4 linked regions of the Anolis sagrei genome follow. The protein of the gene in region 2 interacts with the protein of the main gene of each other region in a pairwise test. Links are inferred from orthologs where the notes say so. Each region holds a gene or a part of one and is shown on either strand. Other genes may lie near its edges.

Region 1 (7,824 bases), on a different chromosome or scaffold from region 2:
AAACCTGGGTCCTCGTCTCTCTCTCTCTCTCTCTCGCGAAAGGGCAAAGTGAAAGGAAAGCACCGCTACTACCAAGGCCTCTCTGGCCCCACCAGGCCACCCACAAAACAAGGAGGCACTACCCCTCCTGTACTTTAGGACCAACTTGGGCCTTCCCTCCAGGTGTTTTGGGCTTCAACTCCCACCATTCCTAACAGCCTCAGGCCCCTTCCTTTTCTCCCTCAGCCGCTTAAGCTGAGGGGGCCCGAGGTTGTGAGGAATGGTGGGAGTTGAAGCCCAAAACACCTGGAGAAAAGGCCCAAGTTAGCCCAGGCCTGTTTTAGGGAGACTATGAGGACATGGGTCACCTCTGCACTCCCAACTCCCAAGTAATAATAATAATAATAATACTTTATATACCGCTCTATCTAGTGGGACTCAGCCAAAGTAACAGAGTGACAAACATTCAATGCCAAAGTGTGGAGGATAATAATACTGCAATAATAATAAGGTTCCCTGACTGCCCCCCTCCTTCCTTTGCCTTCTTCCCTTCCTGACTCCCCTGTTTTGACTGGCTTCACTGTGGATAAGGATAAGAATAATAATGCCAAACTAGGTTCCCCCTTTTGCCCCTCTTCGGTTTTGACTGAGTTAAGTGTAAATGATGATGATTATGATAATAATGTTGATTCCTGCCTCGGTTTTGATTGGGTTTAAGTGTGGATTAATAATAATAATGTTGATTCCTGCCCCTGTTTTGATTGGGTTTTAAGTGTGGATTAATATAATAATAATAATGCTGATTCCTGCCCCTGTTTTGATTGGGTTTAAATGTGGATTAATAATAATAATATAGTATCAAGGCTTCCTTTTCCTTCTTCACCTCCCGCCTTCCCACTTTTGACTGGCTTAAATATGGATGATGATGATGAAGATAATGACAATGTTGATTCCTTCCCCAGATTTGACTGGGTTTAAGTGTGGATGAATAATAGTAATAATGCAGTAACATGGCTATCTCTGCCTTCTTGCCTTCCTGCCTCCCCACTTTTAACTGGGATAAGTGTTGTTGATGATGATGATGATGATGATGATGATGATAGTATTGCAGCAGTAACTACATAGTTCTCTAACCAAGGTTTACCTATTTGCTTCCTTCAGTTTTGTCTGGGTATAAGTGTGGATGATGATGGTGGTGGTGATAATAATAATAATGAGAAGGAAGCAACAGCCAGCATAGTGATCTTGTTTGCTGTGTACTAATCTTGTGCATATAATAATAGTACTGCAGCAGTAACAAGATTCCCTAACTGGGGTCCCCTTCCTTGCTTCCCTAACCTGTTTTGACTGGGTTTAAGTGTGGATGATGATGGTGGTGGTAATAATGATAATAAAAAGGGAAGGGGGTAACAGCCAGCATAGTGATCTTGTTTGCTGTGTACTGATCTTGTGTATCTAATAATAATAATAATAATAATAATGCAACACAGTAACAACAAGGTTATCTAATTGGGGTCCCTCTCTTTGCTTCCCTAACCTGTTTTAACTGGGTTTAAGTGTTGATCATGATGATGATGATGGTGATGGTGATGATGATAGTATTGCAGCACTCACAAGGATAAGGTTCTCTAACTGGGGTCTCCCTCTTTGCTTCCCTCCCCACTTTTGACTGGGATAAGTGTGAATGATGATAAGGATAATGCTGTAAGGACAATGTTCTCTAACTGGGGTCCCCCTCTTTGCTTCCCTAACCAGCTCTGACTGGGTTTAAGTTTGAATGATGATGATGATAATGATACTGATAATAATAATAATAATAATAATAATGCTGTAAGGACAATGTTCTCTAACTGGGGTCCCCCTCTTTGCTTCCCTAACCAGTTTTGACTGGGTTTAAGTGTGGATGATGATGATGATGATGATGCAGTAACAACAATGTTATCTAACTCCCTAACCAATTCTGACTGGGTTTAAGTGTGAATGATGGTCATGATAATAATGATAATAATAATAATAATGTAGTAACAACAATGTTCTCTAACTGGGGTTCCCCTCTTTGCTTCCCTAACCAGTTTTGACTGGGTTTAGGTGTTGATGATGATGCATAATAATAATAATAATAATAATAATAATAATAATACAGTAATGACAATGTTCTTTAAGTGGGGTCCCCCTCTTTGCTTCCCTAACCAGTTTTGACTGGGTTTAGGTGTTGATGATAATGCATAATAATAATAATAATGCAGTAACAAGGTTCTCTTTGCCTTCTTCCCCTCCTTCCTCCCCTTTTGACTGGGATAAGTGTGGATAATGATGTTATAATAATAATAAATCACAGCAGTACGACAGGGTTCCCTGGCTCCCCCCCCCCTTTTTTTTTTTTTTTACCATCTTCCCTCCCTCCTCTCCAGTTCAGGATGGGGCAGGAAAAGGGGGGCGATCCTAGAAAAAGAGGGACTTCCAGCTGTAGAGGTGACAGTCCATTGCCTTGCCTGACTCTCCTCTCTCCTTCCTCCTTTCCTTCCCTCCCTCCCTCCTTCTGAAGCAGCCGCCCGTGTGTTTTTCCAGCTGGAAGTCGCTGGAGGTTTTTCATTCGAGGAAGGAATTAAAGGGGGGGGGGGGAGAGAAAGAGAGAGAAGCGAAAGCAGAGGGGGGTTGTTTTACACTTACTGTGTAAAAGTGGGAAAGGAAAGGGGGGGAGGGGGAGTTAGAGGGAGAGAAGAAGGGGAAAGACTCACAGTGTCTCGCCAGCTGATCGCAAAGGGCTGGGGTTTGTTTTCTGAAAATGCTTTTTTTTTTGGAGGGAGGGAGGTATCATATATAATAATTATTCTAATTATTGCTCGTGCCCCCTCCCTGCGAGACGGCTGTTCTCCTTCGGCCCTTGGAGTAGGAGTGATGTCTGCGGTGCAGCTCTCTTCTTCTTCTCTCTCTCTCCTTCCCCAGGACTGTATGCAAATAGGGAAGAGAAGCCAAATATGGAGCAGTTGGCTGCCTCTGCATCGGCTTCAAGGCTTCGACTTCTCCGTGCAAAAGGGGAGGGAAGGAGGGAGGAGAAGGAGGCAACACTTTTGTCAGGCGGCCAAGAGAGCCACACAGATTATAGCAGACGCACAACAGAGCCTGGCGGAACCAGCCTTAACCCTTTCCAGGGGCTGCTCCCTCAGTCTCCAGGAAGGGAAATACTCTGGTGGTTGCTGTTGTTTACTACTACACCCTGGCTTTGGGACTCTCCTCTGCATAGCCACACTTCATTCAGAAATCATTATAGCACACACACCAGAGTTGGAGCAAGCAACTCTGGCCCTTTACAGGTTGACAAAGGGCCCTCTAAATGCATTATTCCAATGATTTCCAAGGGTGCATACATACTGCAAGGTTAAAGCAGTTGGTTAGTGACTGCTTTAACTGCCTATGACTCTGGAATCATAGTTGTGGTTTCATAAGATCTTTAGCGTTCTCTTGCCAAACTACACCTCCCAGGATGCCATTGCATTGAGCCGTGGCAGTTAGTGCTGCCAAACTGAAATAATTCTACAATTTATAGGCAGCTTCCAACAAAGGATTCTCTCCAGGCAGGAAGCAGCCACACCTTGAAGCTGAAAGGTTATTCAGTGCTAAGCAAGGTGCCCAATTGCAACATTCACACCTGCCTCAAACAAGAGTTCTTTCTCCCGCCCTGGACATTCCACAGATATATAAATTCCACTTGCCTAGTTTGCAACAGACCTCACAACCTCTGAGGATGCCTGCCATAGATTTGGGTGAAATCCCCTGCAAACACTCTGAGAAGCACTTTACCCGTTGGGTTGCTCTTTACTTTTGATTTAAAACCCTCCAAATAGATACATCCTCTGCTCATGTCCAGCATTTATTTTTAAAGTTTTAACTATTACATTTGGCCCAGCCATAGATTTTTAAATTCTTGTGTGTTATTGTCTATTTATGAGTTATATAAATTTTATTGTTGATTTTGTTTATTGCTTGTTGTTTTTGATGTGTTGTTGGGCTTGGCCTCATGTAAGCTGCTCCGAGTCCCTCGGGAAGATGGTGGCGGGGTATAAATAAAGTTTTATTATTTATTTATTATTAATGTCAGGAGAGAATGCTTCTTGAACATGGCCATACAGCCCAGAAAACTCACAGCAACCCAGTGATTCCGGCCATGAAAGTCTTCAACAACACAATTTATAGGCACCTCAAGTGTTCACAAAATAGAGCACCCATGCTGTAAACATGCTACGTGTGCTTTCAAATTGCTGGTCAGCATCTAGCAACCTTGTGGATTTCATAGCGTTTTCTTAGGCAAGGAACAGTCAGGAATAGTTTTGCCTCTGAAAATATAGCTTAATCAGCGCTTGGTGTTCACTGGTGGTCTCCCATCCAAGTACTATCCAAAGCCAACCCTGCTTAGCTTCCAAGATCAGACAAGATTCAGTGCATTTGGGATATTAAGGTGCTCACAGACATACTACAGCACCCAAAAGACAGCACACTTGCTACTCGAATAAGTGTGATATTGTGAATATACAATCTGTGTTTAGCATGATCCTATAAGAGGGCAGGGGCCACGGTGGCACAGTAGGTTAAACTGCTAAGTTGCAGAACTTGCTGACCGGAAGGTCAGTGATTCAGATCCATGGGACAGGGTGAGCTCCAGTTGTTAGACCCAGCTCTGCCAACCTAGTATTTCAAAAACATGCAAATGTGAGTAGATCAATAGATACTGCTTTGGCAGGAAGGTAACGGCACTCTGTGCAGTCATGCCGTCCCCATGACCTTGGAGACATATACAGACAACAGGCGGCTCTTCGGCATAGAAATGGAGATGAGCACCACCCCTCAGAGTCAGACTTGACTAGACTTTAATGTCAAAGGAAAACTTTTATGTTTACTATAAGAGGGCATTGCAGAGCCCCAGCAAAATATGTATGTTTAGTCCATGGGAGAAGATGATATTCTCCAGAACAGAAGTGCTTTCTAAGAAAAGATGTAAGCATAAATAACAAGCAAGTAACATATATTGTGTGGGGAAAGGTACTGGTGGTAAAGAACCGACTGCTGAATCATGTTGTGTTACAAAGCCATTGTGTTGAAAAGCCAGTTGCCCATTCAAGGCTGTACTGTTGTTGAAAGGAAGAAAACACAGCCTTGACAACAGAAGATGAGGAATAAAGATGAAGTTTCTTCAAACCAGTGCTGAGGAATCTTATTTAGTTACTGGTACTGCTCTGGTAACTATCACTGAAAGTAAGCCATTGCCAAGAGAGAAGCCTTATAGGAAGCAACTCCTTGTACTGAACTGAGAGAATAGCAGATCGGCATTTTATTTTCTGAAAATGTGTTCTCTCAATCTGACACATTCTATTAGACTCAGCTTTTTTATTTTTTATTATTTCTTGAAGGGGGAAATGCAAGCCTTTAAATTATTAAAAACAGGATAGATGTGATAAAAAGAAGAGTAGGAGAGGAGAAGGAATCTTGCAGTATCTTAACACTAATTGATATATTTTAGCATGAGTCTTTGTGGATTTCAGTCCATTTCCACATTGGCATATGTGCAGCATGGCATAATTAATAGCTATCAGGGAACATGTGCGGTAGAAACATCCTAGGGTACATAATATATTAAAATTTGCTTGTCAACTTCACAACTACAAGTTCTCATTCTCCCCAAGCAGTAGGATTTTGGCTCCCAAGTATGCAAACCTTTGCTCATTCAGAGACAAAACGAAAAGGCACCCATGTGATACCACCCAAGACCTCAGATATACAAGTTCATTTCCAGGACGATTGCAAGGCAATTGTTGCATCATAACAAACCAAGCAATAACCTCAAGAGATGGCAAGTTAACAGGACAGATCAGAAACCCAGAAGGAAATTGCAAAAGTAATGAGATCAGAAGAAAGGAAGATAAACCTTTGCAGTTCAAGCTTCTTCAGTAGGACTAAAGGAAAGTTTCACATCTGTGGAAGAACAGCATAGCAGACCTTATACAAGTAACTTCCAGATCAGACGTCTTCTACACTCTAGAGAAAACAGTAGCAGTGGAGAAGGAAGAGTTGAATAACCAAAGAAAAGCAATTACAAGTAAGCAACCTGTAATTCCACATATGGAAGAATAGCAAGCTAACTTATTTGTCATAGATATAAATATCTGTTTCTAGGAACTTTACTCCACGCATTGAATAAAGCAGACTTCGCCTATGAAAGCTTATGCTAACAACTTCTTTCTTTCATGACCTATAAAGCCCTAAACAGTTCAGGCCCCGCCTATCTACGCGATTGCATCTCCATCTATGAACTCTAAGATCTTCTGGAGAGGCCCTCCTTTCACTCCCACTAATGTCACAAGTACGATTGGTAGGGATGAGAGAGAAGGGTCTTCTCGGTGGTGTCCCCCCGCCTCTGGAATGCCCTTTCAAAGGAAATAAGACGGGCCCCATCCCTCCCCTCCTTTCGTAAGAGCTTGGAGACCTGGTGGTTTCAACAAGCCTTTGAGAATGAGCAGTTCTAGCTCAGCCCCAAACATTGTTGAATATGGCCTTATACTTCCTATCTATTACCCTGGTCATCCCTCTAAAATGCCCTGGAAATGAGCAGCCGCAGACTCGTACCTGCTGTTGTTGTTAGCCTGTTATAGCACTGTAATTAATTCTTGGTTCCCTCATATTTTGAGTTTGCACTAGCCTTGGCCCAACCTTTTAATAACTCTGAACAGGCAGGATTATTTTTTAATATATATGTGTTATTGTGATTATTTTATGCTTATGTTGTTTTGTTAATTTTATGTCATGCTGTTTACTCTGTATGTTTTTGTGATGTTACTTGGAAACCACCCTGAGTCCCCCTCAGCGAGATAGAGCGGTATATAAATAAAGTATGTATGTATATATGTATGTATGTATTTATTTATTTACCAGAGAACCACCAAACTCATTGCAATCAATAAAAGATACAACTTTGAGATCCTGAACTTCCAGAGGAATATTCTCTGACAACAATTAGGACTATAAGATGCCATTGTTAGAGATGGAAAGGCCCTTTAAGAAATCCATGTTTGAAACCATGATCTCCACTAGCACTATAGGGGTTCCTAAAAGAAACATAAGCAAGCCAGGTTAAAGTATACCTGAGTTAAAATTAAGATCCAATGGACAAAAATATGTACTAATTTAATGTCATCAAGAAGTGTATAACTAGAATAAGACCCCAGTCTCCCTGAGATACATTTCTTGCTGGACCAGTTACATTAAACTACAGATATGGCTGGATACCATTAAATTCCCTGACTTCTGGTCCTAGCATACCATTAAAAAGGTAAAGTTTTCCCCTTGACATTAAGTCTAGTCATGTCCAAATCTGGGGGGGGGGGGGTGTTCATCTCCATTTCTATGCTGGAGAGCCAGCGTTCTCTGTAGATGCCTTCTAGGTCATGTGGCCGGCATGACTGCATGGAGCACCGTTACCTTCCCACTGAAGCGGTACCTATTGATCTACTCACATTTGCATGTTTTTGAAATGCTAAGTTACGAGAAAATGGGGCTAACAACATGAGCTCACTCCATCCGCAGATTCGAACCATCAATCTTCTGATCAGCAAGTTCTGCTTAGTGGTTTAAGCAACTGTACTACTGCGGCCCCCCATACCATACTCCTCTAGAAATCTCTAGATCTTTCTACTCAAGTCTATAGTAACTTCTGGAGAAAGCATACCTGTCCAGAAAAGAAATGATCAGGATGCCAGAGAACAAAATGTTATTTCAAGTATTTGTTGTGACACAGCCTTAGAGAAGGGAGATTACCTGATAAACTAGAAGTCCTGTGTTAATGGTTTGTACACT
Region 2 (7,090 bases):
CCTGAACAGCTGATTTTGTATACGAAGCCCGAAGCTGCTTTAGTTCATCATGTGCCATTTCCACTGCAGACATACTAGCAAATGTCTGAGGAGTGAGAACTCCAATATGCAGGCTATGTTTTAAGTGAGAATTTTTTGGATTTTTCAAGTTGGAAACTTTGCTCCGGATGCAATTTTTGTACTTTTTATCATTGTTAGCATGAAGTGCAAAAATGTGTTGTTCAATTTCTTCAGCTGTTTTGTGGTGCTTTGCAATTTCTTCATTACTTGTTGAGGAATCAGTCAATGCTTCATAAAGAAGTTGTGTGCATTTCGCCCTCACAGCCACAATGGGACTATACTGTTGGCCTGTTTCACTAATAGAATTGGCGTTTCCCAGATCTGGTTCCGTTGTATTATCTTTCTGCACACAACTTCCAGCATTACTTGAAGGGCTTTCTGATGCCAGACTGGGACTGGCAGGACACAATTTTTCCTGCTGGTTCAATTTTCCCAAAGGGTTTATATCTTCAGAGACTACTTGAAGATGATCTGAATCCTCATTTGCATTTTCAGATAACCCCAAATGAAGTTGTACTGATGGACTGCAATGCTTTTTATAAACTGCTTTCCACTTTGAGAGCAAGTGCTTTGCCTTCTTTTTCAGGACCACGGAGGGACAATTCTTGAAGACTCTGAACACAGCTTTGGCCACATCAGTCTCTTGCAAGTCATCTATAGTGATATCAATCGTTTCAAGATATGTAAGATGAATCCCAATATCTTGGTATTTTCTTTCTGACAGTAGCTTCTCTATACAGTCAGCTCTAGATGTGAGGACTTTTGTATTAGACATTTCAAATCCTGAAAGAAATGGAAAGAATTATGTTTCTCTGAAGGCACTATACATACATCTCTATATTAATACAGACACAACAAATGTAATCAAATTGAGATCATTTTTCTGGATGAATAGATGGATTTTCAATAAATGTCTCATCCAACATTCAACCAACGTATTGTTGGAATGTCATATGTTTTCTTGATGCTTATTGTCATGTCCTAGGAGAAAAGATAAAGGTAAAGGTTTCCCTTGATATTAAGTTCAGTCATGTCTGACTCTGGGGGGGGGGGGGGTGCTCATTTCTATTTCTAAGCCGATGAACCTGTGTTGTCCGTAGACAAGGTCATGTGGCCAGCATGACTGCATGGAGCACCGTTATCTTCCCGCAGAAGCAGGTATTGATCTACTCACATTTGCATGTTTTTGAACTGCTAGGTTGGTAGAAGGTGGGCCTAACAGCAGGAGCTCACCCTGCTCCCCAGATTCGAATTGCTGAACTTTTGGTCAACAAGTTCAGTAGCTCAGCAGTTTAACCTGCTATGCCACCAGGGGACCTTGTCCTAGTAGGAAATAATTATTTTAAATGCATAAAACAAAATGAGTAACGTTGCAGCCCTATGTAGAATGACTACGTAAATCGGATAATTTATTACAGTGTAGTTCAAAGTAAAAAGAAATGGATGAACTATAAATCCCAGCAACTACAACTCTCAAATGACAAAATCAATCTACTCCCCCCCCCCAAAAAAAACCCCCACCAGTATTCAAATTTGGATGTATGGGGTTTGTGTGCCCAGTGTGGCCCAGTAAATGAAAATACATCAGGATATCAGATATTTACATTACGATTCATAACAGTAGCAAAACTACAGTTATGAAGTAGCATCAAAAATAATTTTATGGTTAGGGGGTCACAACATGAGGAACTGTATTAAGGGGTTGCAGCATTAGGAAGGTTGAGAAACACTGGATTATTTATTTATTTTATTTATTTCCAATATTTCTACCCCGTCCTTCTCAACCCCCGAAGGGGGACTCAGGACAGTTTACATTTCGCACAATTTGATGCCATTAAATATAACAAAGCAATATAACAACAATTAAACAATAATAGAACATTAATTAAAACAATAAAAACAGTATTAACTGCCGTATAACCATTCCAGTCAAATTCCATATCCAAGCGCTATTTATGCCTGCTGTCCAAAAGCCTGGTCCCAGAACCACGACTTCAATTTCTTCCTAAAAGACAGGAGGGATGAAACTGATCTTACCTCGTTGGGAAGCGAGTTCCACAGGTGGAGAGCTACAGCCAAGAAGGTCCTGTCTCTCATCCCCACCAGACATATTTGTGACGCTGGCAGGAGCGAGAGCAGGGTCTCCCCAGATGATCTTAAACTGCAAGGCGGGACGTAGCGGAATATGCATTCAGACAAGTAAGCTGGGCCAGAGTTAGCATAATCACATCTACCAAAATAATAACAGGTTACCTGTGGAAAACCTTAATTATCCTTCAATACTTCAATATGACAGAGTTTCTTGAGATCCAAACCATATGAAAGGCTGTTTGTCATATGGAGCCAAGACTGCTGGTACCAAACATAGGGTCTCAAGGGAGGACATAATAGGAAGCACTACTGAGTCCCCAAAGGCACTATTAACAGCTGGAGGATAGTAGTTTTAATACCTTGCTTTATTACTTTTGTTGCTTTGTTTTTGGAGGGGAGGCCCAGGGCCTGGATTTGTCTGCACAACTTGCTATTTCTGTAACATCTCGAAACAAGCAAAATGTAGGCCTGTAACTCTAACATCTGTCTTTACATAATCTTATTAATCCATCTATTGTTGAGCCAGAGTGGTTCAAAAGTTAGCACATCATGATTTTTGCACTTTCTGGCTGACCTAATAAAAGTGGATCTGGGATTTTGTTTCATGGTCAATAAGGCTACTCCACATATAGAATCACAAAACTGGAAGAGGCCACAACAGATGGGAACACGAGGATTTTACTCATCTCTTATAAACAAGGATATGTATAATTATTCGAAATATGATCCCAAAGTCACTTTTCCCCGAAAGGTATGATTAAATCCCTCCTCATCTGCTCACCTTATCCTTCCTAAGGAGGCCTTTCAGCTCACCCTCCGTGGCCCCGCCCCTCTCCTGCTCGGGCTCCTACCACGCATGCGTGAGTTGGAAAGAACCTTTGCGGTTCGTTGGGCAATCTGAGCATGCGCGGCGTGGGCTGTGTCTTTGCGCAGCCGCTGTTGCTGAGGGCTATCAATTGCGTCAGAGCAATTGTACTGATATCTCTTAGAATATCTGATATCTCTTTTGACTTGGAAATAAAAAGCCCTTGAAACCTTGGTGTGAGTTTATCTACATCAGTGTTTCTCAACCATCCTAATGCCGCCACTCCTTAATGCAGTTCCTCATGTTGTGACCCCCAACCATAAAATTAATGTTGTTGCTACTTCATAACTGTCATTTTACAAACTTGTGAATTGTAATGTAAATATCTGATATGCTGCGTGTAATTTCACTCACTGGACCAAATTTGGCCCAAATACCCGATATGCCCAAATTTGGGATTGGGGGAGGATTGATTTTTGTCATTTGGGATTTGTAGTTGCTGGGAGATATAGTTCACCTACAATCAAACTCCACCAATGCTGGAGTCGAACCAAACTTGGCACACAGAACTCCCATGACCCACAGAAAATGCTGGGAAGCGAGTTCCACAGGTGGAGAGCTACAGCCAAGAAGGTCCTGTCTCTCATCCCCACCAGGCATATTTGTGACGCTGGTGGGAGCGAGAGCAGGGAGAGCAGGGTGGGCTTTGACCTTCAGTTTGGGAGTTGTAGTTCTCCTACATCCAGAGAGAGCACTGTGGACTCAAACAACGATGGATCTGGACCAAACTTGGCACAAATACTCAACATACCCAAATGTGAACACCAGTAGAGTATGGGGAAAATAGACCTTGACATTTGGGAATTGTAGTTGCTGAGATTTATAGTTCACCTACAATCAACAAGCATTCTGAACTCTACCAATGATGGAATTGAACCAAACTTGGCACACAGAACCCACAGAAAATACTGGAAGGGTTTGGTGGCCTTTATCCTTGAGTTTGGGAGTTGTAACTCGCCTACATCCAGAGAGCACTGTGAACTCAAACAATGATAGATCTGGACCAAACTTGGCACACATGCTCAACATACCCAAATGTGAACACTGGTAGAGTTTGGGGAAAATAGACCTTGACATCTAGGAGTTGTTGCTGAGATTTATAGTTCACCTACAATCAGAGAGCATTCTGAACCCCACCAATTGGTCCAAACTTCCCACACAGAGCCCCCATGACCAACAGAAAATACTGTTTTCTGATGGTCTTTGGCGACCCCTCTGACACCTCCTCATGACCTCTTCTGATAAACACTTATCTACAGTGTACAAACAATGTGGCCTGAAACCACTTTAACCGCTATGGCTTAATGCTCGGGAAATCTTGGGAGCTGTAGTTTGACAAGGCTAAAGCGCTCTTTGGCAGAGAAGGCTAAAAACCTTTTAAAATTACAACAGCCACGATTCCATAGGATTGAGCCAATTCTACAATGAAATCGTATCCTTGGAAGCTAAGCAGGGTCAGTCCTGGTTAGTCCTTGGATGGGGGACTGCCATTAAATCCCAGGTGCCATACATCCACTGCCAAAAAAGCTCCTCTGACTGTCAGAAAGTTCTTCCTAATGTTTAGGTGGAACTTCTTTTCCTGCAATTTGAATCCACCGCTCCATTGTGTCCTAGTCTCCAAAGCAGCAGCTAACAATATGATGTCCTTTCAAATATTTAAACATTTCTCTTGTGTGCCTTCTTCACCTCTCGTCTCTAAGCTATTGGGTTGGGTGCTCATTTTTCATTTTTATGTTCCCAGTTTATTCAGTGTCAATTAGATTTTATTATTCTAACTATATCTGTACCCTGCTGTGGTATCTGTAAGGATGCTGCAAAAAAGAAAGAAACCTCCACCAATGCTCAGCTTCCACATTGAACTGGATTATGTGGCAGCGTGGACTTAGATAATCCAGTTCAATGTAGGTATTGTGGATTATCTCCCTTGATATTCCGGGTTATATGGCTGAGTGGAAGGGGCCCAAAACAAGTTGAAAGTTCCTCGTGCTTCTGCATTAAACCTTAACAAACCAGAAGAGGGCACCATTGGGTGTATTAAACATTATATCCCGTATTAATGTACTTTGATCAGATTTAGATCACAGCTATTCCACACTACTATGTATGCTCCCACTGGCTCCCACTCAGCCAGAAGGCATTAGGCCTATCTGTGCTCTGTAAGGAATGCCATTTGGGACTGACTTTTTAGTAGAGAGGAACATTTAACTTGACTCGCTGTATTGAAAAAAAAGTGAAGCTAGATGTAAAGGAAAAACCTCCAACTTGATGATTTGTTCCTTTCCTGACTTGTGTCATGGAATCTAGCTGAGTTTATATTAATTTGGTTTAAAGTAAGTCCTAAAGTATTTGGAGAGAACTTATTATTTTGATTTCTCCATTCACCTTTCTTTACAAAAATCTTTTCATTTTGAAATGGAATGTGATTGTGTTAAGATTCCTCGGCAGATTTCCACATGTAACTAAAACAGATCAGTACTTCTTAAAATTGCCAATCTGTGATGTGAGAAATTGGCAATTCTTTTTTTCCTGTGTGGAGCAATTCTTTTTTCCCTGGTGGTCATTGTCGACCACCACTTTTGAGTAGTACTCGACTAGACAATCCTAGTATCTCATAGGTGTAGTTTTACAAGTCTCTAGGGAAGACAGGCAGACTAACATCAGCGTTCTGGAAGAAGCAAAGACGACCAATATTGAAGTGATGATACTCCGCCAGCAACTTCACTGATCTGGCCACATTGTCCGAATGCCTGATCACCGTCTCCCAAAGCAGTTGCTTTACTCTCAACTCAAGAACAAAAAACAGAATGTCGGTGGATAGCAAAAGAGGATTAAAGATAGGGTTAAAGATGCTCTGAGGATGCTTGCCATAGATGCAGGTGAAACATCAGGAGAGAATGCTTCTAGAACATGGCCATATAGCCTGAAAAACCTACAACAACCCAGCAAATGAAGATTATGTGTTCTAATTTTATATTCCCCATTTCACTAGCACAAGAAAATACTTGTTCAACACCAACATTTTTGTAACTTTTTCTTGTCTTTTCAGTTACAATACAAGCTTAATTCTAATGAAAAACAGTATGCAATGCACACAGAGCACAAATAGTATGTGTTTTCAAAATAACTTCTTTCAAGTTTACAATTCGTAACTTATACAGATCACACTGCTTTTGGAAATGTTTTTTTCTAATTTTTAGTACATATCTGTCATCAGATTTAATATTAAACATTTGAAGATACATCTTGTTATTTATTTTTAAAACTTGAATAAGTCCCAAAAACAATAGAACTTGGACACATCATTCAGCACAGAAATATCTGTTTCATGTATTCTGTTAACTATGGACGCTTGTGAGGAGGATTAATTACAGTGCTTCTTTGTAAGAACATTTTGTGTCTACAGATTAGAAGAAAGAATAATGGGAGGACAAAAGGCAATTCACATTTTTCATATTTTGACACGCAGAATACACTTTCTCCCCATAGTGAAATATGAATAACTTAAGCAAAAATGCACACAAGAGAGATGGAACCAAACATATGTTTTCTTGCATATAGGCACATATAAGTTATACATTTACGTCCATTGATTTCAGGGTCTTAAATATGCTGATTCCCCTTTGGATTATGTTCTTCATTTCTCTTATTACAACAAGACAGAGAAACAGCCTGATCCAGCAATGTGAGAGAATGCTATTATGTAAAAAGTACCTCTGGCAAACATAGTATGAAAATTTATTGCAATGATGAGAGGAATCTCAACAAAAACATGGGCATGAATTGGTGATATGGGGGGAAAACTATGTATGGGTAGAAGATGTGGATTGAACACCCAGCCCATTTGCAGTTCCTTACCATGGCTCTATACAATTACATTTACTCCACTGTACCCTATATGTTGCTTGAAATAAAACATTCTTTCAAAGATATTGCTTCATATTCTTGTAGGTCAGTGGTTATTAACCTGTGGGCCACGGACCATCCAGTGGGCAGTGATGACAAAAATCTGGTCTGCGAGGTTCCTTTCTCTTTATTTATTTATTTATTGATTGATTGATTGATTGATTGATTTTA
Region 3 (7,197 bases), on a different chromosome or scaffold from region 2:
CCCTCGGGGTGAGAAGGGCGGGGTATAAGCGACCGTAATAATAAATAATAATAATATATGTTCTGTATCTCAAAAACTAAAACTGAAAAGGGGAAACTGGTTGCATTTTTGGAATCAGCAAGTCAAATATCCCCAGAAACAGGACTAACCTTTGAGGTAGCAAAATATGTGTTCGCTAGTATTATTGATAAATATATACCCCACCTTGATCTTAGTATAGGATTCAAGGATTCACAATACACTTGATAACAAAGGATATTCAAAGACAACACAGAAAGAAACCACCACAAATTTTGGTCAAAAAGAATACCTGGAAAACAATACGCTATAGATACAACATATTTGATTAAAGGTGTAAGGAGACGTTTATGATAATGTTTTTTATACTATATGCTAAACGTTTTAATAGTATTTATGGCTGCTTTAATTAACTTTAATTGTCGTGGCATTGAATTGTTGCCAACTGTGAACCGCCTTGAGTTGCCTCTGGGCTGAGAAAGGCAGTATACAAATATGGTAAATAATAAATCAAAAAATAAAAACTGAAATCCTCCCTAAATAAAGAGGTCTTTTCCTGTTCAGATAAAGACACCAGATAACCAAGAGTAACAAAAAGGTCAAGGCTACTAAGTGTTCAGGTTGTACCTTGTGACTGTGAAGACAACAGGACATTGAGAAGACCAACTGGAAAATAAAACTCACCTGCCCTTCCCAGTCTTTGGGCCCTTGATGCATCAAAAGGAAATCCTCTGCCAGGGCCACAGCCTGGGAGCAGGTTTGTGGACAGTGCCCCCTCAGCCATTTCTGCATATCTGGGGGCAGGGCAGCCAGGAACTGCTCCAGCGTCACCAGGTCCAAGATCTGTTCCTTGGTGCGTCTCTCCGGCACCAGCCACTTCTGGCAGAGTTTCCGGAGATTCCCCCAGAAGTTTCGGGGCCCTTCGCCTTCTTGGTAGATCAACATCCGAAAATGCTGGCGCTGTATCTCCAACTCAACAGCACCTTTACTTGCTGTTTCCTCTTTCCCAGAATGTTTGGCATCCAGATGGCTTTCATCATCCATAGTCACTACCTGAAGCTCCTGAGGGTGAGATTGTTGGAGTGTCTCCCCTCCAGAAGAGGAAGACTGTAGTGTTCTCAGAAACTTTTCCAACTGAGCATCCCAGATCCTTGACGGCTCTTCTTCTGACTCCTGTTTTACTGTTTGTTCTGATTCTCCTCCACCACTTCCCCCTTTTGGTAGAGGTGCTCCTACTTTGGCCTCTTCTGATTCAGGACCTATTGAATCCTCCACCTCCATTTTTATTACTGGACCCAGAAATCCAGTGGACCCTCTTTCTTGTATTGCAGCCATTTCTTTTCCAAAGAAACCTGTTTTGTGCCTCTCTTCCTGCTTTTTAGCACCAGTCCTTAGGTTGTCTTCTTCTCATAACATTCAAAAAGTCAACTCATCCACAGACACACTTCTTCAAGAAATGCAGCTAAATGCCCAGGACTTGATAAAATCTGTGTGAGCCAGCCATTCCTCCAGAAGATATACCTGCCTTTTGCTCCTAAGAGAAAAACACACAGGCTGTTAAATTGAAGTCTAAAATGTCTGAGAATTTTTCTGTTAAAGATGGGCAAATAAGAAGTAAGTAATCTCCAATCTATAATATATTGCATATACATATAATATTTATAATATTATAATGTAATACAATATAATACTAATACTAATAATAATACAATATTATAATTGTATATTTTATATTACATGTAATTTTACTAATAATATTACAATATAATGGTATAGTACAATATAATATATAATACTAATATTGTACAGGGTGAGGCAGCATAACTTCCTTTTTTAAATGTGCGTCATTCAGTTGGTTGAAGACATAGCGGAGAGTTAGTGGTCTCATTAGAGAGGCGGGAGTATAAAGTTTTGTCCTGACACAGTTCAGTCGCCATCATGCATTGGAACAGTGAGGAGCGTGCTTTTTCCCTTGAGGCCTACTTTTCGAGTGGATCTGGAATGGCCGGCCCGAGCGGATCTCCAGATTTGGCCCCTTGTGATTTTTTTCTATGGGTTTTTTTTTTGAAATCACATGTTTAGTGAACTGTCCAAGGACCCTACAAGATTTGAAGACCGATATTCAGGAAGAAATTGCCAACATAACGCCTGCTATGCTGGCAAGAGTCATGATAAACGCCAGAAATTGGTTTACTCAGTGTATGGAGAATGGGAGACGTCACATATCAAATTTGACCTTCAAAACTACGTAAAACAAAATGTTAGGTATGCGCCTACATTATTAAAAAAAATTAAAAATTCTGATTCATACAATGGATTTTATTAAGTTTTGAAAAAGGAAGTTATGCTGCCTCACCCTGTACTATGCTAATAATATAATATATTGTGTTGTTCATTCGTTCAGTCGTCTCCGACTCTTCGTGACCTCATGGACCAGCCCACGCTAGAAAACTAAATGGACCAGTACAATATATTGTATGTCTATATATATCTTGTAAGCCGCTCTAAGTCCCCTTCGGGGTGAGAAGGGTAGCATATAAATGTTGTAAACAAATAAATAAATGTAACAAGATTTGAAAAAATACATTCTGTTCCTGGTTTGAACGTGTTATTTCCTGTTTAATTGTGTGGTACTGACTATGGAAATAGTTGTTATACTCCAGAAACTTTGTTTTTGTGGCTACCCCAAACTGGGCAAACTTGGGCCCTCCGGGTGTTTTGGACTTCAACTCCCACAATTCCTAACAGCCTCAGGCCCCTTCCTTTTCCCCCTCAGCCGCTTAAGGGGCCTGAGGCTGTTAGGAATTGTGGGAGTTGAAGTCCAAAACACCTGGAGGGCCCAAGTTTGCCCATACCTAGTCTAGACGTAGCTGTCCAAATATTTACCTGGAAATTTACTCCCACCACAAGACAGTCAAACAGAATTTCTTGGCAGTCCCATGGCTTTCTGTGGAAGGAAAGTTAAACCTTGCTTCCTCTTCCGGCTCTCCCTTGGCGCCAAAGAACACTGAGCGGAAAGGGAGGAGCCTGAACAGGAAGCCGGAAGGAACGTTCAGAGGCCCACTTCTTCCTGGCTAGAGGATTAGGCCGCTCTGGGGCCCGCTCTCTATCACCTTAACCCCTCCTTGGCTGAACAGGAGGAAGAGCTTTGAGAGCCTCTGGCTCTGCTCTATGCTTCTCAAATAATATTGAGTTCAACACCCTTTGAACTGCCATGGCTCAGTGCTACAGAATTATGGGATTTGCAGTTTTACAAAGTCTGTAGCCTTCTCTGCCAAAGAGTGCTGGGGCCTCACCAAACTATAAATCCCATCATAGAGCTGGAAGAGACCTCATGGGCCATCCAGTCCAACCCCCTGCCAAGAAGCAGGAATATTGCATTCAAATCACCCCTGACAGATGGCCAACCAGCCTCTGTTTAAAAGCTTCCAAAGAAGGATCCTCCACCACACTCCGGGGCAGAGAGTTCCACTGCTGAACGGCTCTCACAGTCAGGAAGTTCTTCCTCATGTTCAGATGGAATCTCCTCTCTTGTAGTTTGAAGCCATTGTTCCATTGCGTCCTAGTCTCCAGGGCAGCAGAAAGGAAGCTTGCTCCCTCATCTCTGTGACTTCCTCTCACATATTTATACATGGCTATCATGTCTCCTCTCAGCCTTCTCTTCTTCAGGCTAAACATGCCCAGCTCCTTAAGCCACTCCTCATAGGGCTTGTTCTCCAGACCCTTGAGATACCAGTGAGATGTAGTATTTATTTATTATTTACAAGATCTGTCAAAAAAGAAAAGTTCTGGTGCGTTGCCAAACTATAACCCATGATATCATAACATTAAGTCATGGCAGTTAAGGTGGTGTGAAACAGCATTAATTTTGCAGTGTAGATGCAGCTTTAGAAGTGGGGATTTCGTTGCGTTTGGCTTGTTCTAACATCAGGTTTCAAGCTGCTGTAATCTTCTCTTTTACACAACCATATAAGATACAGGAAGCCTTTCCGTAGGTTGTGGAAAGGCCACCCAGTTCAAACCTCTTCTGACATGCAGGAATAATTATATAAATAAAAATGTAATGTTCATTTGTGGGATTAACATAACTCAAAAACCACTGGACAAATGGACACCAGATGTGGACACAATACACCTATCAGGCCAACGAGTGACCGTCATTCATAAAAACACTGAAAAACACAGTGGAAGAGACTTAAAAAGCCAAAAAATAAAAAATACATTACATTACAACTCATGTACAACTTGATGTTGCAATTCCAGGTAAAAGCAGGATTGAAGAGAAACAACTGGAAAAGCTGACACGATATGAGAATTTAAAAACCACATATATACACATATACACATACATACACACACAAAACACATATACACAGACTGGGCCACAGCAATGCATAGCAGGGGACGGCTAATCTATCTGTATAAATAAAAATGTAATGTTCGTTTGTGGGATTAACATGACTCAAAAACCACTTGATGAATGGACACCAAATATGGACACAATACACCTCTCAGGCCAACGAGTGACCATCACTCATAAAAACACTGAAAAACACAGTGGAAGAGACTTTAAAAGCCAAAAACTTAAAAAATACATTACAACTCATGCGCAAAACTACATATATACACATACACACACACACACAAAACACATATACACAGACTGGGCCACATCAATGCATGGCGGAGGGTGGCGGGGGGTAGTCTATCTATATAAATAAAAATGTAATGTTCGTTTGTGGGATTAACATAACTCAAAAACCACTGGATGAATTGACATGAAATTTGGACACTATACCCCTAACAGACCAACGAGTGATCATCACTCATCCCCCCCACCAAAAAAAAACCCAGCAGAAAGGACTTAAAACCCCCAAAAAGCTAAATGACAATACAGAAAAAAGGGAAGGAAGAGGGAGAGAGGGTATGAAGGGGAGAAAGAACGAAGGAAAGAAAGAGGGAAAGAGGATTTCCCTTCTTCACCCACAGTTCCTTTCTGCGTGTGTTTTCCTTCCCAAGGAGGGTCGGCCCGTCTAGGGTTTAGATGTCCTAGCTGATGCCAACTAACGTAGGTTGGGGCTGAGATGTAAGCCAGCTGATCTAAGATCTTGGTTGGCTTCTTAAAAAGTACACTTTCCAAGCTCTGCATCCCAAGGACCACACATGGTTCACCTAATGGTAAATTATATTCCAAAAATACTTAACGAAGAGCATGTAAGGAAAGCTGGAGTTTGGCTCATGCTAGATCTCTGTCCCAGTGATGTTGTCACGTCACAGGATTTCTGGGAAAGAGGAAACCTGTTTTCCTTGTTGCAGACGTGGTTTCCCAGACACTGACATGCTCTGAGTTGACTGGAAAAGGAGAGATGTGTTGCTCAAGTAGTGGGACAACAAGCGCAGCTTTGGTAGAGAATTGCCTTCTGGAGAATCAGTCTTGTGCAAAGTGGGGAGGTATAGTACCAATTTCTTCTGGGAAGAGATACAATAAGGTTTTGAAGACCTCACAACCTCTGAGGATGCTTGCCATAGTTGCAGGTGAAACGTCAGGAGAGAATGCTTCTGGAACATGGCCGTATAGCCCGAAAAACCTACAACAACCCAGGTTTTGAAGTGTTTGGAGGTACAAGGTGGTAAATTTAGTCTTTCATACCCATGGATTTTGCATTTACGAATTAAACCAATTACAGTTTGAAAATATTTGGGGGGGGGGGGGGGCGGGAAATCCCAAAGCTATACACTGGGCACTAGGTTGATGTGCTGACACACTCTGCTGTAGCGTCCCACCATTTCATAGATCCCCAGTCTCTCTCTGGTGCTATTTTGAGCTCTTTACCATGAGATATAAGAGGTGCCCATTTACTCTGCCATTGTTTATAATAAGATTTGACCATCCAGAGATTTTGGGGTCTAGAAGCAAGTCCTAGAAGCGAACCCCAGCAGATACCAAGGACATACTGTACACCTCACTAGAAAGTATATGTTAATTTGCACAATGGTTTTTTAGGGACCCCCAAACTTGGTCCCAACCGAATGCCCGATGGCAGGTGGCAAACAGACAAACAGCCAGTCTCAGGAGTAGAACAAAAGCAAGCTTTATTTCATCATGATCATGAAGAGATGGCCAGCTGTACCAAACATGCAGGTCTTGGTACTTTCAAGAGGCTGCTGCACCCAGTGTCTCTCAAACTCATATTATATAGACAAGACTCACAATATTCTTTGGCACTGCAGCAAAAATTATCCAACTGCAGACTACCACCTAAGCTTAATTCCTTATTTGTCACATTGACTAACTGACTTCTTGTAAATCACATGTTTTTTTGACAATGGAAAGTAGAAGACCCAAATTGCTCCCCGCCCCCCATACAGCAATAGACACTTTGTCAGCTTTTTAGCCTTCACCCTAAACTGTCTTGTGAAAGTTGTTAATTGCACATTTTTAAGGTGCTAACCACAAATGTTCCAGACAAGACGGACCCTTAGCAGAAGCATATTTCTAAATACAGAGGGAGTACATTTTTAGCTTTGATTTCTCTAGTTTCATTATTGCCACATCAGTTTGTATTTTATGAGAAAGCATAGAATCATACAACCATAGAGTTGGAAGAGAACTCATGGGCCATTCAGTCCAACCCCCTGCCAAGAAGCAGGAAAATCACCTTCAAAGCACCCCCAACAGATGGCCATTCAGCCTCTATTTAAACACCTCCAAAGAAGGAGCCTCCACCACACTCCAGGGCAGAGAGTTCCACTGCTGGACGGCTCTCACAGTCAGGAAGTTCTTCCTCATGTTCAGGTGGAATCTCCTTTCCTGCAGTTTGAAGCCATTGTTCCCCGTCCTGGTCTCCAGGGCTGCAGAAAACAAGTGTAGATTTCGGGGGAGAGAAGAGGGAGGGGAAGCAATAATACCATTATATTGCTTTTGCTCTTGATCAAAAAATGCAATCTTTGCAATATGATTGTGCCCAAGGGAGTGATTTAGCTGCTTTCATCCACATTTCATTCTATGTCAGTGGAGCAATCATCAGGCTTGGATTTTAGCCTTCCCATCAAGGGAGCTGTCTGTGGTGCTGCACCTAAACAGTAACCTAGGAATATCTGTGTTGGAAAGGCTTGAAGTGTAAAGCTCAAAGGATGATAGATTTCATCGTAGCTCCCCACATCAAGCAAAGCTATGGC
Region 4 (7,507 bases), on a different chromosome or scaffold from region 2:
TCTGGGAGTTGTAATCCAAAAATGGGAACTTTTCCATGTTCTGATTCAAGAGGTATGTTGATTTTTTTTTGTACAATACAGCAATAAAGAGCTATAAGTTCTGTGTTTTACATCAAAATGAGTGAGCAAAAGGGCCTAGTTTTATATAGATTGGATAGAAAAATTATCTGACAAACTGCAGTTCTATTTAAGCCCCGTGATGAAGTATGCCAGACTTTGAAATGTTGCACAACCCCACTCCCACTATGTACAAGTGTCTTTGTAAACATGCATAGACATATCCAAGCAATTTGGATCTGTTGCAGAGGGAAAAGTGAGGTATATACTAAATTAATAGATCAGAAAACAACTCTCTCCCCTCCTGTATTCTTTCTTATGTCACATAGAATCCACTGCACTCATAGCAAAAGGATTTCACCCCTCCCCTCTCTTTTAGAGAGGATTGGTTGCTTTCAAGTCCCTTCAAGTCCACGTCTTAAGTCACGAGAGGTGAAATGAACTGGACACTGTACATGGCTGTTGTGTACAGAGTGAGGCAAAAATCATCTATTAGATATATTTAATCATACAGTCACCTCTCCATGTTTTGTGGATTTACTTCTGTGGATTTTTCATGGATTTGATTTGAAATGTTCTCTCTAGGAGTCTCTAGGTCCTCCAGTCTGACTTCATGATCAACTCCCTCCAGTCCTGCTGGAGCACCCAAAGATTTCCAGAAAGAGTCTCTCTAGGAATGTCTAGATAGGAGCTTTCCAAACATTTCATGTTGATGACACACTTTTTAGACAGGCATCATTTTGTGACCCAGTTTTACTAGCATACTGGAGGTTACATCAACCTTGCACAATAAATAAGGACACATATATACACTGTAATAATGAAATGTATGGAGACACAACGTATATCATGAAAAACTTTCCTTTATATTTTTGAAATATATTATTTATTGCTTATTTTGCATAAACTCAGAGATTTTTCATTACATTTGTGCAACACAGCTACACACTGCAGCCAACACATTAACATGTTGCAACACACCTCTGCTTTAGATCCTCCTATGAAGTTCTATTATCAGCTTTTAGCAAAAGATGACTGTAAAGTCATGCTGGAAGACCTAGAAATCCCTAGAATTTTTTTTAATTTCTTAAATTTAAACAAATTTGTCCAAGTCTTCTCATAGGGCCCTTCCACATAGCCAAATAACCCACAATATCTGGTTTGAACTAGGTTATCTGAGTCCACATTGCCATATAATCCAGTTCGAAGTGGATTTTATACAGCTGTGTAGAAGGGGCCTTTGAGGAAAAATATATAGTAATTTCTTTATTTATGGTTTTTCACTTTCACGGGCTCCTGTGCCCCTAACTCCAGGAAATACAGAGGACTGCAATACAACTTTGTAATGTATTTATTTATTTACCACATTTATAGCCTGCCCTTCTCAACCCCGAAGGGGACTCAGGGCAGCCTTACGAAGGCAACAATTCAATGTCATATATTAATACATTGGTAAATATACAAAAATATTAAAACCAAACCCATTAAAAACATGACATTAAAACACCAATTAAAATCACATGTAATAATTGTAATGTAACAACAACAACAAAAATAAATAAATAAATGAGTGAAACATGTTTTTCACCATTGGTCCCTGCCAATGGACTTCTGCTTCATGTGTTTTGGCTCCTTTCCTCTTTGCTTTAGCCTCACAAATGACTAACCCAAGGTCACCCAGACCCCTTCTACACTACCATATAATCTAGTTGAAAGCAGATGATCTGGATTTTATATGGTAGTGTAGAAGGGGTCCCACTGAGCTCCAGGGATGCATCTACATAGCAGAATTAATGTGGTTTGGTCTCACTGGAATTGCCCGGGCTCTGGACCCCTTCATACAGCCATATAACACAGAATATCAAGGCAGATAATCCACAATTATGGAGCCCATGGTGGCGCAGTGGGTTAAACCCCTGTGCCGGCAGGACCGAAGACCGACAGGTCGCAGGTTCGAATCTGGGAAGAGCGCGGATGAGTTCCCTCTATCAGCTCCAGCTCCTCACGTGGGGACATGGGAGAAGCCTCCCACAAGGATGATAACACATCAAAACATCCAGGCGTCCCCTGGGCAACGTCCTTGCAGACAGCCAATTCTCTTACACCAGAAGTGACTTGCAGTTTCTCAAGTTGCTCCTGACACAACAAAAAAAATTACGCAATATCTGCTTTGAACTGGGTTATCTGAGGGGCCTAGGCCTTTCCACACACCCATATATCCCAGAATATCAAGGCAGAAAATCTTACAATATCTGCCCCTTCCACACAGCTGAATAAAACCACACATTTTCTGCTTTAAACTGGAATATATAGCAGTGTGGACTCAGATAACCCAGTTCAAAGCAGATATTGTGGGTTTTTTTCTGCCTTGATATAGGGTTTAGTGGAAGGGCCCATAGACTGAATGGGAGTGTGGACTCAGCTAACCCAATTCAAAGCAGATATTGTAGGTTATTCTGCCTTGATATTCTGGATTATATGTCTATGTGGAAGGGCCCTAACTTATCTGAGTCCACACTGCCATATATTCCAGTTCACAGCAGATAATGTGGGATTTCATGTGGGTGTGCTCTGTGGGGACCTGAATCCGCATCTCCCAGATTTTAGGGGATGGGAAGAAGGCTGCCTCTGAACCTCTCTAACCAATGGCAGGGAACAGGCCTAAATAAAGAGGGCGACCCCACGGGGGCCTTCCCGCTCTCCTAGCAACGCGTTACTAAGTGGGGCCTCGCGGGCACGGGTGTAGCCTAGCAACGGCGTTCCAAAGGGGCGGGGCGTGTCCCCTGGCAACAAACCCGCGCGGCGCGTCCTTCACCTGCCGCCGCCGCCGCCGCTCCTCGCGTTCCCGCAAGGCTCCTCCGCCTCCTCCTCGCTCATTCCCTCCTCCTGCCCCGCCGCCGCCACCACAACGCTTGCCGCCCTCCAGCCCGGCTGACAATGGCCGGGAAAGAGGAAGCCACGGCCCCGCGTCGCCTCCACCGCCTCCACGCCCGGCGAGGCGCATCCTGGAAGATGGAGTCCGCACCCGGCTCCCGGCCCTCGAGCCACATCAGCTGAAGAACTACAACACCCACAAGGCCTTTCGGCCGCGGAGAGCGGCTTTTCTCAGTGTCGACGCGCGAAACTCGTTCGCGCTGCATGCTGGGAGTAGTAGTCTCCTAAGCGTGTAACTCAGGCATGGGCAAACTTGGGCCCTCCAGGTGTTTTGGACTTCAACTCCCACAATTCCTAACAGCCGATAGGCTGTTAGGAATTGTGGGAGTTGAAGTCCAAAACACCTGGAGGGCCCAAGTTTGCCCATGCCTGCTGTAATTTATTAGCCAGGATTCGTTGCCTAATTGGAGATTAAGAAATGCAGTTTGAGACCACTGGAACTGCCAGGGCTGGATGCTATAGAGTCCTGGGAGTTATAGTTTGGTGAGGCACCAGCCCTCTTTGGCAGAGAAGCCTCAAAGGACAATTCTGAGCCATGGAAGTGCAAGTGCATGAATTAGGGCCTCCCCACACTTGAGGATCATAATAAATTGTGGCACGTTCTTGATGGTATGGGCATACCAAATCACCTTATCTTTCTCCTGAGGAATCTGTATAAGGACCAAGTAGCAACAGTCAGAACTGAGTGACCATGGAACAACAGACTGGTTCAAGATTGGGAAAGGCGTACGGCAGGGTTGTCTACTCGCACCCAACCTATTCAACTTGCATGCAGAACACATCATGCAATGTGCAGGGCTTGACGAATGCAAGGCTGGGGTAAAAATTGCTGGAAGAAACATTAACAACCTTAGGGTGGTGACGGCCGACAGGGAGCTCTGGCGTGGGCTGGTCCATGAGGTCACGAAGAGTCATAAATGACTGAATGAATGAACAACAACAAAACACACTTGAGCATTTGTCCACTTTAGTCCACTTTAAATGCTATGACTGCTTCAAGCAGAATTATTGGGCTTGCAGTTTAGGGAGGCCCAGGGCTTCTCTGGATGAGCAGTTTAAAAGCCCACTCCCTAAACTACAAATCCCAGAATTCTGCAGGAGGCAGTCGCAGTATTTAAAGTGGATTAAAGTGGATAAATGCTCAAGTGCGAGGAGACCTTTCGATGCACCCTGATGAGAGAGACGTAGTTTTAAAGGGGTATTTTCAGGGATGCTTCCAATGTCCCATATTGTCCTGATTTATTTATTTATTTAAAACATTTATATTCCGCCCTTCTCACCCAGAAGGGGACTCAGGGTAGAGCACAGCATATATATGGCAAACATGCAATGCCGGGACAAGATTTCATTATATGCATACATAAACATTAAAAAAAACATTTATTTCAATATTAAAAAAAACACTATTTAAAACCAGAGATTCTGCGTCTGGGGAGAACAAACAGTGGAAGACATTGAACATTTCTTAATTGACTGTCCAGCATACATTGAACTGCGAGACAGATATTTACATCCAATATTATCCAACTGCAGGTCCCCCAACAGAAATGATATTCTGACATCCCTCTTGAAGGTCAGGAAAGATCCAACATAATCAGAGTAAGCCTTTTTATTCTGAAAGCTATTAAGAAAAGAGCAGATTTCTTGAAAGAAGAACCAGACTTATCACCTTGTTGCCTTGTTTTTTTACTTGTGTTCTATTTTGAAATGGTCATATGACTGATCAAATAAATAAATATTATTATTATTATTACTATTTAAAATCGTCTTGGTCATCTGCGCCAAATCTAATTGGCCGGTAAAATTTCCTATTGCTTTATTGCCCTGTCCCGAAAGCTTGGTCCCACAGCCAAGTTTTTACCATCCTTCTGAAGGACAGGAGGGAGGGGCCCGATCTGATCTCACCAGGAAGGGAGTTCTATAGCTGGGGGACCATCACCGAGAAGGCCCTCTCTCTCGTCCCCACCAATCGTGCCTGTGACAATGGTGGAGAGCAGGGCCTTCCCAGAGGATCTTAATCTCCGCGATGGTTCATAGGGGGAGATGTGTTCGGACAGGTACATTGGGCCATGGTCATTTAGGGCTTTGTAGGCCAAAGCCAGCACTTTGAATTGTGCCTGGTAGCAAGCTGGCAGCCAGTGGAGCTGGCGTAACATGGGAGTTGTATGCTCCCTGTATGCCGTCCCATTCCGAGCAGTCTTCAAAGGCAACCCCATGTAGAATGCATTGCAGTAGTCTATCCTGGATGTAACAAGAGTGTGGACCACCATGACTAAGTCTGACTTCCCAAGGTACGGGTGCAACTGGCGTACAAGTTTTAATTGTGCGAAAGCTTCCCTGGCCACCGTTGTAACCTGGGATTCCAGGCTCAGTGATGAGTCCAGGAGAACTCCCAAGCTGCGAACTGCCATATGTGCCTGCTTTTGCAGAGGGCCTTTGTTTGCAGATGGTTTGGAAAAATATTGCTGCAGAGGGTAAGTTACTTTTCAAGGATAACAGTACATCAGGACAAAACTGGCTAGCTAGTTTCCCAATCGAGTTATGCTTGCAACAGAAGAACAGGTAAGACTGATTCATTTAGACAGCCAGAGTTGGAGACCAATAGATTAAAGTTGTGCCATTGTTAAGATCTCATGTGTGTCTTCATGCCTGTCAAAGTCATAGAGAGCCAATGAAATTTGTATTAGCCAGTTTAGACCAATGAAATGATTGATATTTGAACACCAATGAGAATGTGTTTTCAATTTTCTTTGAAAATGATAAAAAGGCCTTGCAACCCCATTTTAGGCTGTGACAAAACCTTTGATTGCATTTCTATATGCATTTTGATGTTATTGCTGTGGCCTACAATAAAAGTCTTTGTAGTAGGAAATTGTGGCCTCCTACTTGCATTGCTTCCTGGGCTTTTGAGTGGACACCTAAGTCGTTTGGAGTGCTAGTTGAGGCTGTGCTCTTGAAACTGAGGACAGACCACAGATTGATTCAGTAGGGCTTCTTCTTATCCCATCTCATTACAGTCTAAATCTTTTCTCCAAATAAAACAAAATGTAATGTGGCCATTCTATAGCCTTATACCTTGGCCCCTTCCACACAGCTGTATAAAATCCCACATCTGCATTGAACTGGGTTATATGACAGTGTGGACTCAGATAACCCAGTTCAAAGCAGATATTGTGGATTATCTACCTTGATATTTTGGGTTATATGGCTGTGTGGAAGAGCCCTGAGTCCACACTGCCATATAATCCAGTTCAAAGCAGATAATCTGGATTCAGGAACTGGATTACAGTGTGGATGGGGCCTTTGTGAACTCCACTGCTCTGACTTTTGAATAATAGGATTGCACTCTATATATAACTGTGCCATGTTGGCTTAGGACATTAAGACTGAGATGCCCTGCCTTAAGCAAAGCAAGATGCAGCCCCTCTTCCCATCTCAAAAGATATTTGAGCTGAAATATAATTGTAGAAAATGATACACTTATTTCTCTCTATTTGGCAGTAAGTATTTGTATTTTAAATATACTGTAAAATAACTAGCTATTTCCTCCCCTTCTGTGATGTCTAAAAACAGAGGCCTAACTCTGATGGATCACCATCATAGGCTGTCACTTGTGACTGAGTATGATTGCCTTCCAAATGTAGGGTCTTAGTGGTGGATCCGTAGGTGACTATAGAGGTATATTCTTGATTGATTTCCAGATGGAAGGCCGTCCCAATAAGGGTTGGCTTTACATGCCTTCCTCTTGGCATGTTTCTCTCTTTCACCCTCCATTCATGCTTCTTCGAATTCCCCAACATTGCTGGTCACAGCTGACCTCCAGTTAGAGCGCTCAAGGGCCAGGGCTTCCTAGTTCCCAGTTAACACAGTTTTTAAGGTTAGCTTTAAGCCCATCTTTAAATTTCTTTTCCTGCCCACCAATGTTATGTTTCCTGTTCTTGAGCTGGGAGTATAATAACTGCTTTGGGAGACAGTGATCAGGGATTCAGACAATGTGGCCAGTCCAGCAGAGTTGATGGCATAGGAGCCATCAACTCTGTTCAATGCTGGTGGTATTTGCTTCTTCTGCTCTCTGGGATTTGTCTGCTTGTCTTCCCAAGAGATTTGCAGGATTTTTCAGAGGCAATGCTGATGTTCCAGGAGTTGCATGTGACATCTGTACACAGTCCACGTTTTTCAGGCATATAGCAGGGTTGGGAGGACAATAGCTTTATAAACAAGCACTTTTATATCTCTAAGGATGTCCTGGTTCTCAATCACTCTCTGCTTCATTCAGAAAAATGCTGCACTTGCAGAGCTCAGGCGATATTTCAGTGTCAATGTTGATTTTTGTGGAGAGGTGGCTGCCAAGGTAGCGGAAATGGTCAACATTTTCTAATGTTACACCATTAAGCTGTATTTCTGGCATTGGAGAGGGATTGGCTGGTGACTGCTGGAAGAGCACTTTGGTTTTCGCGATGTTTAATGACAGGCCGAAATTCTCATATGCTTCTGCAAAGGTGTTTAGACTGGCTTG

Evidence for each region.
Region 1: the proteins of TCEANC (region 2) and ATXN1 interact in binary tests that used the Homo sapiens proteins (3 or more experiments, as listed by UniProt). The link is inferred for Anolis sagrei from reciprocal best matches to the Homo sapiens genes TCEANC and ATXN1.
Region 3: the proteins of TCEANC (region 2) and zinc finger protein 397-like interact in binary tests that used the Homo sapiens proteins (3 or more experiments, as listed by UniProt). The link is inferred for Anolis sagrei from reciprocal best matches to the Homo sapiens genes TCEANC and ZKSCAN7.
Region 4: the proteins of TCEANC (region 2) and TARBP2 interact in binary tests that used the Homo sapiens proteins (3 or more experiments, as listed by UniProt). The two-hybrid records come from large-scale screens. The link is inferred for Anolis sagrei from reciprocal best matches to the Homo sapiens genes TCEANC and TARBP2.

What each region holds. Positions count from the first base shown.
Region 1 is NC_090024.1:81,545,360-81,553,183, forward strand, and holds the start of ATXN1 (ataxin-1), read right to left. Parts: upstream 3,024-7,824; 5' UTR 2,718-3,023; intron 1-2,717. UniProt on the Homo sapiens protein: Chromatin-binding factor that repress Notch signaling in the absence of Notch intracellular domain by acting as a CBF1 corepressor. Binds to the HEY promoter and might assist, along with NCOR2, RBPJ-mediated repression. Binds RNA in vitro.
Region 2 is NC_090023.1:91,729,802-91,736,891, forward strand, and holds the start of TCEANC (transcription elongation factor A N-terminal and central domain-containing protein), read right to left. Parts: upstream 3,022-7,090; 5' UTR 2,933-3,021; intron 2,597-2,932; exon of another isoform or gene 2,511-2,596; intron 2,314-2,510; 5' UTR 2,252-2,313; coding exon 2,098-2,251; intron 844-2,097; coding exon 1-843.
Region 3 is NC_090022.1:14,843,269-14,850,465, forward strand, and holds the start of zinc finger protein 397-like, read right to left. Parts: upstream 3,023-7,197; 5' UTR 2,905-3,022; intron 1,554-2,904; exon of another isoform or gene 1,553-1,553; 5' UTR 1,354-1,552; coding exon 703-1,353; intron 1-702. UniProt on the Homo sapiens protein: May be involved in transcriptional regulation.
Region 4 is NC_090022.1:190,334,374-190,341,880, forward strand, and holds the start of TARBP2 (RISC-loading complex subunit TARBP2), read right to left. Parts: upstream 3,018-7,507; 5' UTR 2,935-3,017; coding exon 2,873-2,934; intron 1-2,872. UniProt on the Homo sapiens protein: Required for formation of the RNA induced silencing complex (RISC). Component of the RISC loading complex (RLC), also known as the micro-RNA (miRNA) loading complex (miRLC), which is composed of DICER1, AGO2 and TARBP2.